3 linked regions of the Macaca mulatta genome follow. The protein of the gene in region 3 purifies or fractionates together with the protein of the main gene of each other region. This does not show direct contact. Links are inferred from orthologs where the notes say so. Each region holds a gene or a part of one and is shown on either strand. Other genes may lie near its edges.

The links.
Region 1: the proteins of TNFRSF10A (region 3) and CASP8 purify together in Homo sapiens (affinity purification with western blotting; 13 studies listed by BioGRID and IntAct, counting the BioPlex papers as one, with this or other methods). This does not show direct contact. The link is inferred for Macaca mulatta from reciprocal best matches to the Homo sapiens genes TNFRSF10A and CASP8.
Region 2: the proteins of TNFRSF10A (region 3) and CFLAR purify together in Homo sapiens (affinity purification with western blotting; 5 studies listed by BioGRID and IntAct, with this or other methods). This does not show direct contact. The link is inferred for Macaca mulatta from reciprocal best matches to the Homo sapiens genes TNFRSF10A and CFLAR.

Annotation. Positions count from the first base shown.
Region 1 is NC_133417.1:106,371,167-106,375,749, forward strand, and holds the start of CASP8 (caspase-8), read left to right. Parts: upstream 1-1,701; 5' UTR 1,702-2,032; coding exon 2,033-2,057; intron 2,058-4,243; exon of another isoform or gene 4,244-4,300; intron 4,301-4,583. UniProt on the Homo sapiens protein: Thiol protease that plays a key role in programmed cell death by acting as a molecular switch for apoptosis, necroptosis and pyroptosis, and is required to prevent tissue damage during embryonic development and adulthood.
Region 2 is NC_133417.1:106,216,822-106,221,275, forward strand, and holds the start of CFLAR (CASP8 and FADD-like apoptosis regulator), read left to right. Parts: upstream 1-1,320; 5' UTR 1,321-1,429; exon of another isoform or gene 1,430-2,881; intron 2,882-2,951; exon of another isoform or gene 2,952-4,159; intron 4,160-4,454. UniProt on the Homo sapiens protein: Apoptosis regulator protein which may function as a crucial link between cell survival and cell death pathways in mammalian cells. Acts as an inhibitor of TNFRSF6 mediated apoptosis.
Region 3 is NC_133413.1:24,961,946-24,966,579, reverse strand, and holds the start of TNFRSF10A (tumor necrosis factor receptor superfamily member 10A), read left to right. Parts: upstream 1-1,609; 5' UTR 1,610-2,046; coding exon 2,047-2,352; intron 2,353-4,634. UniProt on the Homo sapiens protein: Receptor for the cytotoxic ligand TNFSF10/TRAIL. The adapter molecule FADD recruits caspase-8 to the activated receptor.

The sequences.
Region 1 (4,583 bases), on a different chromosome or scaffold from region 3:
GACCAATCATAGCATCCACTTCTGAGAACTGTTCAGAAGTGGAATGGAAATGAGCCAGTTTAGGTGGCTGTGTCTGGCATACACCAATGGTTTGATACGTATTAGCTTGTGCCTTTATTGGGCCAACTCCTTTTTGTTAGGTGACTGAGAAACCAAGGCCCTTCTGATCTTTATTCATCGTTCATTATTAGTTTAAATTTGTTGCTCTTCCATCCACATGATTCATTCCAAATCCTAAGTGTTGGAGAAAGGGAGTTAGTGTGTCATAGAAAAATCTCTGTTTTGGCCCAGCAGGACTGAGTTTGACTCCATGGAACTGTTTGAGCCTTAGTTTCTTCATCCATAACATGGGAGAACAATACCCTGAATTGCTGCAAGAATTAGAGATAGTTCATGTCAAGGTGTAACATACAGGTAATATGTTACTTCTGGTGTTCTGGTTATAAAATGTACAAGATGTGCAAGCAAAAGGGCAGAAAACCCTTTTTAAAAATTCATGGCTGGGTGTAGTGGCTCACACCTGTAATCCCAGAACTTTGGGAGGCCGAGGTGGGTGGATCACCTGAGGTTATGAGTTTGAGACCAGCCTGACCAACATGGAGAAACCCTGTCTCTACTAAAAATCCAAAATTAGCCACGCATGGTGGTGCATGCCTGTAATCCCAGCTACCCAGGAGGCTGAGGCAGGAGAATCACTTGAACCCGGGAGGCGGAGGTTGCTGTGAGCCGAGATGGCGCCATTGCACTCCAGCCTGGGTAACAAGAGCGAAAATCCATCCCAAAAAAAAGAAAAAAAAAATTCACATGGGAAACAGAGGCGGATGGCAGAGAACAGGGGAGTGGCTGGGCACGGTGGCTCATGCCTCTAATCCTAGCACTTTGGGAGGCCAAGGTGGGTGAATTCCTTGAGGTCAGGAGTTCGAGACCAGTCTGACCAACATGGTGAAAACCCGTCTCTACTGAAAATACAAAAATTAGCCAGGCGTGGTGGTGGGTGCCTGTAGTCCCAGCTACTTGGGAGGCTGAGAGGCAGGAGAATCACTTCAACCCAGGAGGTGGAGGTTGCAGTGAGCCAAGACCGCACCACTGTACTGTTACACGGACAACAGACTGAGACTCCATCTCAAAAAAAAAAAAAAAAAAAAAAAAAAGAGAACAAGGGAGGGTCTGGGGTTCAGAGCTTTGGGGAACAGACCTCAGTAGCACCAACACTCCAGGATCAATGCTACAAAGACACGGGTTACAACTAAACTGGAGAACATGGCCAAAGAAGGGAACTGAAGTGTCCTGGCTCAGCCCTATTTAGGGCTGTTTAGCTCTGTTTAGGGCTGAGCCAAGTAGGGCTGAGTCAGAACACTTCCTCCTTTTTTTGTGAACAGTCTACCTACATTTCAGCTACAGGGGTGGCTTCACCCAGTCCGTAGGGAGGGAGGAGAGGGCTGGTCTATGACTTCAGTGCTGAGGTTTGGATCAAGGCAGAGGGAAACTTCCTCTTCCCAGACCCTTTGCAAGGAAGAATGGCATATTACTTGTCACCGACAGGGGTTATGATTACTAAATGGAGTCAGTATAAATGCTTTCCAATAAAGCACGTCCAGCGCTCGGGGTTTTAGTTTTGCATGTCCATGAAATGTCTGCCACCTCCCTCTTCTGAATGGTTGGAAATTGGGCATCTGTTCCTTTAAATAGGAAACATTTCTTGTTCGGGTGAGTCATCTCTGTTCTGCTTTAGGAGTAAAATTTACCCTGCAGTTCATTCTGCTGTGAAGTTTTCTCTTTCTCTTGGAGACCAGGTTCTGCCCTTCTGCTGGAGGGAAGTGTTTTCACAGGTTCTCCTCCTTTTATCTCTTGTGTTTTTTTTTCAAGCCTCCTGAATTTGCTAGTCAACTCAACAGGAAGTGAGGCGGTGGAGGGAGGCAGAAGAGCCAGGGTGGTTACTGAAAGTAAAAGAAACTTCTTCCTGGGAGCCTGTCCCACCCCCTTCCCCACTGAGCACGTGGAGTTAGGCAGGTTAGGGGGCTCAGAGACTGCGATGGTGCCAGGAAAGGGTGGAGCGGGTGAGTGCCTGTTGCCGAGGTGGCCTCTTCAACAGGAAACCACATATTTTTGTTTCTTGAGTTGCTCTAGAAACAGGGCTGTGGGGGCGGGGAAGAAGCTTGGATCTGCCCGGCTGAGGACACCTCTGGGTGCTGCCTGGCCAGGTCTCCTGTGGGGTTTCTCTCTGAGCTGTTGCCTCTGATCTTGCTACTTTTTCACTCTGAGCAGTCTCCATTTCCTCTGCTGCCTTTTTGTCCTCCCAGCTTCCCTACTGCCTGGAATACAGATACACGGTCTCCCTCCTGTGAACCCGTTTGGAGAGTCCAGAAAACTTTATCAATCCACTTTTTTTTTCTTTTTCATTTGGCTCTGGGGCCGAGGGTTAAGTTCTTTATTCTGTCGAATCACAGTGCCCTGAGGTGCACAGACCGCTTACCCCTCTTCCGTGTCTTAAGGGTTTCCTTTTATGTCTCCACCCCCACCCCTGCCCTCCTGCCCTCTCTCTTGCTCCCCAAAGATAATTCTCTAATGTTTTGATGTGGATTCGTGAATTTATCTGTATCTTTGCAAAATGTATTTTTCTTTTGTATATGTACACTGTTTTTTAACTATGCCATCTCAGGCAAGTAAGTAATTCCTCTGTACCTCTGTTATCTCATTGTTAAATGGGATTAATAATGCCTTGAGAGGTGACTGTGAGGCTTGAAGGAGATAATACGCACACATCACTTACTACATGAGTTAGCAATTATTATTGCATATTAATACTATTGGCATTTTATTTTACTCATTCTGTTTCTATTTCTTTTTTATTTATTTATTTTTTGAGACAAGATCTTGCTTTGTCACCCAAGGCTGGAGTGCAGTGGTGCAATCATGGCTCACTGTAGCCTCGACATCTTGGGATCAAGCAATGTTCCCATCTCAGCCTTCAGATTAACTGGGACCACAGTCGTGTGCTACCACACCTGGCTAATTCAAAAATTTTTCTTCATAGAGATGGTGTCTCACTATGTTGCCCAGGCTGGTCTCAAACTCCTACGCTCAAGGGATCCTCCCGCCTTGGCCTCCCAAAGTGCTAGGATTACAGGCATGAGCCACTGTGGCCATCCAGGCATTGATGTTATCAGGCCACCTTGACCTAGCCCTCTCTGGTGAAGAGTCCTTTTCAGATACTTCATTCAGTCTTCTCAGCTATGAGTCCCTGCCCTCTGAAAGCTTATATTCTATTTGGGGAAAGACAAAAGGCAGTTTCAAAGAAGAGAGGTGCTTGATTTTCTTTTCCTACTTTTAACATCAGAAAACATTTCGTCTAACTCTCAGTATGAAGGCAATCTTTTGTTTACTGATCTGTCCCTAGAGCCCAACATGGTGAGGGCCCCAGGATTTGCCTCTTTGATAAGATGGTAAACCCATCTTGTGGCTAACTTCGTGGTGTCCCCAGCTACACTCATATACAAGGATCACCTTTGGTAAGATAGGGTTACCATCTTACCAAAGAGTTTTTGCATTTTAGAGGTTTTTCTTTTTAGATTTTTTTCATTTTAGAATTTTTTTATTTCAGAGTTTTTTTCTTTTTAGAGGTTTTTCATTTTAGAGTTTTTTCTTTTTTAGAGTTTTTTTTTTTTTTTTTTTTTTTTTTTTTTTTTTTTTAGAGTTTTTTAGGCGGCTGAGAGTGGAATCTGGTGACTTGGGGCCACAGAGATGCTCCTTGGCTAAACCAGGGGCTTTAGCTCTGAACGTTCACAGTCACCCTGAGAACCAAGATGAGGGCTCTGCGATGTCCAATCTCAAGACTTCTCCGAGGTGCTCCATCAAGATTCATTGAATGAAAAAATTAAAGTCTTAATGATGAACCCAGAAAAATCTTTAAATCCTAAATACGAAATGAAAGTGTTCTTAGTTACAATCCAGTCCAACGTCCTCATTTTGGAATGTGGAAATGAGGCCCCAAAGGTAAAATGGCCCATCATAGCCAGGGGCCAGTGCTCAGGTGGCCAGATGCCCCGCCCCACCCTGCAGGCAGTCTCTTGGACCATCAGGCCTTTTTCCTCCAGCTTTAGAAGCTTTAGAAGGTGCTCTGTTCACTCAGGGGCAAGTGGTAAGCGTTCCCTCCCCTCTAGTGTTTGTGACTTAGGAGTTTCGAAACAGGAAGTACAGCTGGCTGTGCCCTTCATCCTTCATTAGATGTTTGCTCTTGTCTTAGATGCTCAGATGGCAGTGGAGAGGCCTGTAACAAAGGTGTTACCATCGTGAGAGTAAGGTAAGGATTTGCCCCTTTGTTAAGGTCAGAGGGGCCTTTTGGGAGAAGGCCTTTGATTCTGGAGTTTTTTAGGCTGCTGAGAGTGAGGTTGGGTGGCCCTGGGGCTATGGAGGTGATCCTCATATGTGAGTGTGGATGGGAAACCATGAAGTTAGTGGAAGAGGTAGCAGTCCCTCTGAGAGCCTTGCCGAGGGCCGTGCAGTTTCCAGATCTTGAGGCCAGTCTGGCTTAGACTGATTAAGTGCTAGGAGTTTCTGAAATGCTGCCATTTACCTACTTGTAT
Region 2 (4,454 bases), on a different chromosome or scaffold from region 3:
TATGGGGTGAAAGTAATGGAGAAAAAGAGCTAAAGTCTCCTCTTGTGTCTCAGCACTCCACCCAAGGTAGAGCCTCTGAATGGAAGAAGGACTTTGCCACCTCTCCACCACACTTCCCCAGGATTTAGCTTCAGCATCAGGTAGCTAGGGGCAAGATGAGAAATGCTGACATGCTGGTCTCTGACTGGGAGCTGTGGGAAGACAGAGGTTCTTAGTTGCAGCCGTCTGGAGTGGAGTCTGTCTTGCTGCACAAAGGCAGAGGTTTGCTTTAAATACCACAAACTCTCACATTCTGATGCAAGAATTTTTATAGATTTTTTGGAATACATGTTTCTTCATTTGCTGTTTGCCCTTAGGACCATTTCAGACGCTTAAAATAGTTAATGGTTGTTTGTTGTTTTAAATAATTTTCAGTTTCACTAGGGGTGAATCCTGAGCTCTTCATGCCGTCCTGCAGTTAGTCTCTCTTGGTATTATTCTTCACCTTTCCTGTGAGTTTAAAATTATTTCAAGAAAAGTTAAAGCTTTTTAAGAATCACAATAAAGTAGATAGATAATAGGAATAAATAAAAACTTAGCGGGGCGCGGTGACTGACGCCTGTAATCCCAGCACTTTGGGAGGCCGAGGCGGGCGAGGATCACTTGAGGCCAGGAGTTGGAGACCAGCCTAGCCAACATGGTGAAACCCTAAAATTAGTCGGGCATGATGGCCTGTGCCTGTGGTCCCAGCTACTCGGGTGGCTGAGGGGGTTGGATGGCTTGGGCGCAGGAAGTCCAGGCTGCAGTGAGCCGTGATGGCGCCACTGCCTTCTAGCCTCGGCGACAGCGCGAGACCCTGTCTCAAGAAGGAAAACAAAAAACAACATACACACAAAAAAACCACAAAGTGCGTTCACGTTTGCTATGACTCCCAGACATCAAATCATAAACACTCGCGCCTGGCTGGGTGGCTCACGCCTGTAATCCCAGCAGTTTGGGAGGCCGAGGCGAGCGGATCACAAGGTCAGGAGTTCGAGACCATCCTGGCCAACAGTGAAACCCCGTCTCTAATAAACACAAAAATTAGCCGGGAGTGGTGGTGCGCGCCTGTAGTTCCAGCTACTCGGGGGGCTGAGGCAAGAGAATAGCTTGAACTAGGGAGGCGGATGTTGCAGTGAGCTGAAATTGCGCCACTGCACTCCAGCCTGGGCCGCACAGTGAGACTCCGTCTCAAAAAAGAAGAAAGCAAGCAAGCAAAAAAAAAAAAAAAACCCCAAAAAACCTCGCAGTGTTTACTCCTAACGCGTGGAACTTATGTCGACATCCACCCTCGGTTACTGCATACTCAGTCACACAAGCCAAAGCAGGAAACAGCGAGTTGGCAGCCTCACCGACGAGTCTCAACTAAAAAGGACTCCCGGAGCTAGGGATGGGGACTCGGCCTAACACAGTGAGTGCCGGCTATTGGACTTTTGTCCAGTGACAGCTGAGGCAAAGCCCAGGGCTATCCAAAGACCACGGGAGGGGGTGTGGGAGAGAAGCGCTGCGAACAGCCATCGCCCAGCACCGAGTCCGCTTCCGAGTCCGCTTCCAGGCTTTCGGTTTCTTTGCCTCCATCTTGCGTGCGCCTTTCGGGCGTCTAGGGGAGCTAAGGCTGAGGTGTCAGCGGCAGGAGAGTCCGGCCGCGACAGGACGGTACGTGCCCCACGCTCTACCCCCCGCCGGCGGCGCCGGAGCTGTCCCAGACCCCAAGCCCCGACGCCCGGCCCTGAGTCAGCGTTGCAGCAGGCCCTGAGCCGCCGCGCGCCCACGCGCCCACGTCCCACTCCTGCCGCTCCTCACAGCCCTGCGCTCCGGGAAACTGCAGGTGGCCGGCAGTGGCCAGGGGATGGCGGGGGCGCTTCTGGAACCTGACTCAGTTTTGTAGATTTCTTATCTCGGTTGTTTACCGCGGGCTGAGCGGAATGCCCCCGCTTCCGCTTCCGCCCCGCTCCGAAACCCCGAACCCTTTCTGCTGGCAACTCCGCCCCGGATTCCCAAAAAGGGGCGACCTGGGCCACTGCGGTCCGAGCTTCACCCCAATGGACCTGAGAGACCGGAAGTAAACCTTGGCTAACTCTAGCCGCCCCCTGCAGCCGCAACCGCAGAGGCCCACCCGCGAGCTTCAGTGGCGGGTCCTCAGCGTTGTGTAAACTTTGCTTAAAATGATCTTGAGAGTTCAATTCTTGGAGTGAACTGTTGAGAAGATCTGGCACTTTTCCTTTCGAAAGTTGTTGGGAACGTGGACTTTCCCAACAGTTGTGTGTGCGTTCGACCTCACTCAGTGGGAGCCGCCGCCCTGTAGGGAATTTAACAATAGCCTAGTCAGGGCTGTTATTTTCCAGAGCAGTTTAATATCTATTTTGCCCAAGTGCAAGGAAAGCTTGCCTTGGAAAAGCTGGGAATGCCTGACTGAAGAAACGTTTTTAGAGCCTTTTAAAATGAACCTGTTTCTGCCATTTTTCCACCGCTTCAAAAGGACTGGGAAATGTAAAATGACTTCAAGATGTTCTTACTTGAGAGTGTCCGGATTTGGACAGAAGGCCATGTTCTTTTAATATTAACAGTGGCACGCAGTAGAACAAAGGCCACTGAAATTCAGAATTAGTTTTTGGCTCCACGGAGTAGGAAGTAAATTCAAGGACGCCAGAGGTCTTACGAATGTTTTAATTGGTTGACATTTGAAATTTGTTCTTAAGCAATGAGGGGTGAAACCAGTAGGGGGTTAGCATATAGCATAAGTAAAGCGTTTTGAATATCAACAAACTGCAATAATCTAGAACTGAGAGCGGGCTCTGGAAGGTTTGACCTGCTTTAGAGAGAGATTTCAGATAAGAAGAACGGAGTTTTTGGCCCTTTTCGGGTTGGTGATTCCCCTAAATAACCTTACAAAAGTTTTGTTTAACAAAAAACCTGGCTCGAGCTCCAAGATCTTTTTTTTTTTTTTTTTTTTTTTTTTTGAGACAGAGTTTCACTGTTGTTGCCCATGCTGGATTGCAATGGCACAGATCTCTGCTCACCGCAACCTCCGCCTCTCGGGTTCAAGCAATTCTCCTGCCTCAGCCTCTCAAGTTGCTGAGATTACAGGGATGCACCACCATGCCCTTAATTTTGTATTTTTAGTAGAGACGGGGTTTCTCCATATTGATCAGGCTGGTCTCGAACTCCCGACCTCAGGTGATCCGCCCGTCTCGGCCACCCAAAGTGCTAGGATTACAGGCGTGAGCCACCGCGCCCGGCCCAACTCCAAGATCTAAACAAAAAAGACTGGGTCGAAAGGGAGTTTTGAATGTTTACTGTTTGCTTTACATACATTTAATGTTTGTAAATGTTTGCTTTACATACATTTTCTTGTTTTGTTAATACTTGTTTTACTTACAGCTTTTGGGTCAAATGTCCTCGTTAAAATGGCTTTCTCTAGCGACTTTATGTTTTACGTTTCTGTTTGTAACTGACATTTGACCTCCTTACTTGCTTCCTTACACCGGTTACTTGCTTCCTTATACTTGCTTGCTTCCTTGTACCGGTTTCCAAGGTGAAGCCATTTGCAGGGTCGCTGGGTTTCCCCCTACCCCCGAAAGTCTTGCATGACCCGGGGTGGGCGGGATTACGTGCAGTTTTTTGAGCCTTGGGCTGGGGGCCTCCAGGAAGCTGAAACGGAAATTGCCTAGGCCCCTGGGGCATCGGAGGTCCTACCGCAGCTCCTAGTAGGTGGTGGGGGCGCACCGGCGGTCCCCACTCAGTCCTGGTGGGGCCGCACGTAACTGTCCTGAGATATGCATAAGCCCTTTGACCACGCATGGAGAATATCACCACCCAGAGACACGCGAGTGGCCCTGTGCAAGTTTCAACTGCGCGGGGGCGGGGAATTCCGCAGACAGGATTCGAGAATTTATGTCTTGTAACATTTCAGCCGGTGGGCGGCGGGGATTAGGCGTGAAGCGGTTCAGTAGGCAGAGGTTTTCGGACGCCCTCCGGCGAAGCCACCTGTTGATATATTTGACTTTCTGTCCTCGTTCCTCATCCCATCTGGAGCATTTCCAATTCTGCTTTTGCGGAGCAGCAGGTCTGAGCTTGTACGGCGAGGGTGGGAGTTGGTCCCGGCGGAGATCCAGTGGGAAGAGCCGACGGCTGCCCGGGCGTGAGTAGATGAGAATCCTGCCCGATCCCCGCCCCGGGGCTGGTGTCGCCCTGGGCTCCTGAGACGTTGGGGCACTGTCCCCCGATACTGGCAGAAAAGGATTGAGTCCTCGCTTTTGGCCCTAGGTCTCCTCCTTGAGCCTCCAGTGGACTCACAACACTCCGAGGCATATTGCTCTTTCAAATACCAGGAATGGACTCTGGGGAATGGGGCACCCTTGAAGTCTGATTATTTCTTCCCTGTAGAGCCCCAGGGGCTAATTAAACTCGTGTTTATGGACTCCAATGCCTCCTTG
Region 3 (4,634 bases):
CACTTATCTCCAGATCTTTTCTAATTTCTCATATGAGATCCTCTTTGACTCGTTGGTTATTTAAAAGCTTGATTTCTACATGTGTGAGTTTACTCTTTTCCTTCTGATGTTGATTTCTAGTGTCATATTGTGATCAGAAGTTTTAATTTCAGTTATTTTAAATTTATAAAGAATTACTCTGTGGTCTAACTTATGGTTTATCCTGGAGAATATTCCATGTATCTTTGAGAAAAATTGAATGCTTCTGTTTGTGGTGAACTGTTTTTTATGTCTTTTAGTTTCCATTAGTATATAGTGATGTCCAAGTACTCTACGTCCTTATTTATCTTCATTCTGATTGTTCTATTTTTGAAAGTGAGACAATTGAAGTCTCCAACTATTATTACAGTAGTGTAAATTTCTCCCTTCAATTCTGTTTATTTCCTGTTTTATGAACATGATGGATTGGATAAAAGGAATTGAGTGAAACAGAACTTTTAGTGGGAGGTTTTATTTTTATCTGACTAGCAGTTAGGGAGTGTTTACTGTGTCCTGTAGCTATTGGTGTCAAAGGATAAAATTTCTTTTTCTTTTCTTTTTTTTTTTTTAGACGGAGAGTCCCTCTGTTGCTCAGGCTGGAGTGCAGTGGCTCGATCTCTGCTCACTGCAACTTCCACCTTCTGGGTTCAAGCAGTTCTCCTGCCTCAGCCTCCTGAGTGGCTGGGATTACAGGCATGCGCCACCATGCCCGGCCAATTTGGTTTCTTTTGTATTTTTAGTAGAGACAGGGTTTAAGCATGCTGGTCAGGCTGGTCTCAAACTCCTGACCTCGTGATCCGCCCACATTGGCCTCCCAAAGTGCTGGGATTACAGGTGTGAGCCACCGCGCCCGGCCGAAAAGAAAGTATTTTCAACAAATAGTACCGGAACTCGGTAAAATATGGAGAAAAATGAATATCAATCAGCGTCCCCTTTCTCTTACCCACTCCTCAGCCCCAAGGTCGCCCTGGGAACCCTTCGCAGGCAGGACCGTGACTCGCCTGGCTTTCGGGAGGCTGATTTTCCGCTCCCTGGGCCCGCGAAGCGCTGGGTGCGGAGGAACTGCTGGAAAGGACCTGCCTCCACGTGGGACTGCCGCCAAGTCGCATCCCTGTCATGCACCAGGTAGTCCCCCATGGTTTAAGAACTCTCAAGACTCTTTAACAGGTTAGGAAAATCCAGAGGAAAGGCAGAATTGGGTCCCTCGGGCTTGCCTGACACCAGGGACAGTGGAGTTGAGGTGACATTTCACTGGCATGGAAACCTGAGACCAATAGCAGGATGCGCCGGGCTCGGTGGCTCACGCTTGTAATCCCAGCACTTTGGGTGGCCAAGGAGGGCGGATCACGAGGTCAGGAGTTCGAGACCAGCCTGGCCAAAACAGTGAAACCTCGTCTCTACTAAAAATACAAAACTTAGCTGGGCGTGGTGGCGGGCGCCTGTAATCCCAGTTACTCAGGAGGCTGAGGCAGGAAAATCGCTTGAACCCGGGAGGCGGAGGTTGCAGTGAGCCGAGATCGGGCCACTGCACTCCAGCTAGGCGACAGAGCTAGACTCCATTAAAAAAAAAAAAAAACAAAAAAAAAAACGCAGGATGAATCACTCGCCCGGTAGTGACGGAAGAGGCCGTAGAAGCCTCTTAGAGGCCAGATTCCGCGGTGGCGGCCTCTGTGCCCTTCATTCCGCTACCCATCCGTCCACCGAGTGCCTGCTAGTAGCCAGGAATCCGGCCACGGAGAGACTGAGGTCGACTCCCGACCGAGAAGCCTTGCGCTGGGACCAGTCGTTTTGACAGTAGCAAAACGACTCCGAATGCAGCAGCATCCACGCGGCGGCCGTGTTTGAGGAACAGAAGCTGAGGGCGGCGAGGGCGGCGAGGGCGGTCACAGAGGAAGGAAGTTCAGGGTTGGCCAACAGGAGCCGCAGGTGCCCCGAAAAGGGGGCGGGGTCAGGGGTGCCCTGAACTCCGAATGCGAACTTCTGTCTTATCACAGCCAAGCACGCTGCTTCTTAGATTGACCTGGCAGGATGGCGCCACCACCAGCTGGAGTAAAGCTGGGCGCGTTCCTGGCAGTGACTCCGAATCCGGGGAGCGCAGCGAGTGGGACAGAGGCAGCCACAGCCACACCCAGCAAAGTGTGGGGCTCTTCCGCGGGGAGGATTGAACCGCGGGGCGGGGGCCGAGGAGCGCTCCCTACCTCTATGGGACAGCAGGGACCCAGTGCCCAGGCCCGGGCAGGGCGCGTCGTAGGACCCAGGTCGGCGCAGGGAGCCAGCCCTGGGCTCCGGGTCCACAAGACCCTCAAGTTTGTCGTCGTCGGGGTCCTGCTGCAGGTGAGTCCCCATCGCGGTCCTGCCTGGGGAAAAGCGCGCCTGGCACCGGGAGGGGGCAGGGAGAGAGGGGGACACGGCGGGGGTGCCTGGCCCTGGTCACTTGTGGCGGGGCATGTCCGGGCAGAGGAGTCCGTCGTCGAAGTCCGAGGAAGAGCGGGGTCCCCGGGGCCAGGCAGGAGCGGCCGGGGCCTGGAGGGAGCAGAGCCCCCTCCCGCAAGAGTCTGGGTCCGGGGACTCCACCACGTTGGCCGCTGCCTAGCGCGGCTCCCTGCTCCCCACACTTCAAGATGTATCGGGACGTTTCAGAATCGATAGAGCTCAAGTGTGTAAACTTCCAAGCCACCTCCGAGCCACACCGGCTGCGTGAATGGGGAGCACCATTCTCCTCCCCACTCCCTCATTCCCTCCCCACCCCCATCCTTCTTTTCTCTCTCTCTCTCTCTCTCTTTTTTTTTTGAAACGGAGTCTCGCTCTGTCGCCCAGGCTGGAGTGCGTTGGCGCGATCTCGGCTCACTGCAACCTCCGCCTTCCGGGTTCAAGCGATTCTCCTGCCTCAGCCTCCCGAGGAGCTGGGACTACAGGCGCCCGCCACCACGCCCGGCTAATTTTTTGTGTTTTTGGTAGAGACGGGGTTTCACCGTGTTAGCCAAATCCGCCCGCCTCGGCCTCCCAAAGTGCTGGGATTACAGGCGTGAGCCACCGCGCCGGGCCCTCCATCCTTCTTTTCTTAGACAAATCGGTTAAACACGCAGCCCGGCAGAAAAAGTAACTTTCTCTCCGCTGCTTGTTTCTTCCGTTTCGAGTCCACTAAACACACCGGCAGCAGTTTCCTGCCAGCCACTTTCTTGCACATCAACAGGTACAGGGCAGTGAATTGACCACCAGGCAGGCAGCCAAGACCGGGGCACGCCCTTCCTTCAGGAGGCAGCGTTTCCTGTGAAAGCAATCACTCAGTCTGGAAAAATGCCAATACCTTCAGTTCTCTTTCAAGTTCATTAAGTCTCTATCAATTGTTCTCTTTCAGATTCCTTCTATGTTAAGGAAAAACAAAACAAAAGCCAAATTACCTCAAAGATAAACCAGTCTTACAAGTGTCGGTAAATTTTAAGTGTTTTTGTTTAACAAACTAAACAAAATCCAGGAAACCAATAGCATTTTGTAATCTCCAAATAATTACAGAATTTATGTTTTAAACATCAGTTTATATTAGGTGGAACCCACGGTTGATGCTTATTTTTAATACGCTTATTAAATGGCTTTCTTTTTGACAGGCTAGTGCGATTCCAGGTGGATGTAGGGCTCACCTGTGTAGACAAGGTCAAACATCTGAATTTGGTGGTTTTGGAAATGTGACAGTGCGTTTGTGTGGCTATAAAAAAATACTTGAGGCTGGATAATTTATAAAGAGGTTTATTTGACACATGATTCTGCAGGCTGTACAAGAAGCATGACACCAGCATCTGCTTCTGGTGAGGCCTCAGGAAACTTCCACTGGTGGTGAAGGGGAAGGACAGCTGGATTCTGCCCATCAGGGAAGGGGGTGGGGAGAATGGCAGGGGGAGGGGGATGATTTCTGAAAGGGGAGCGGGAGGGGCCAGGTTCATCCTAACAGCCAGCTCTCATGGAAACTAAGAGTGACAACTCCTGGGGGAATGTGGGAGGGGGCAGGTATGGCACCAAGCCTTTCATGAGGGATCCACCCCAAACCCCAACAGGCCCCACCAGCTACATTGGGGTTCAGATTTCAACATGAGACCTGGCAGGGACAAAGGACCCATAGCAGACACCAAGGCCTTCTTCCATCCCACAGGACCCTCTCATCCCACCATCCATCAGCCTTCTTCCTGTGCATTTATAGGTACTTTAGCTTTTAAAAATTCTGACTGAACAACAAATCACATCAGATGTTTTCTATCAGTCCATGCATGTATCTCATTTTCTTTAACAGCATCATAATATTTAGTGCATGGGTGAAACACATGGGGTGAACCACAGTTGATTTTAATCTTCCATCCTATGGGCAATTGTTAACATTATGTCCTGCCTTTGTTTTTACTAATTCCAGCAGCATTGTAGTGAGAACCCTTGTATGTATCATATGTCCATGTGTCAATATTCTCTGGAGTATCGGGCAGCCCTTTAAAAGAGGAATTCTTGGGTCAATGAGCTCATTAATTTAGAATTTTGTTTGGATAGTGCTAAATTGTCCTTCGGGAGAAGATTGTACCAATGTTACTCTCACACCAAGAATACACAAGCGTGCCCGTGTCCCTGCACCCTTA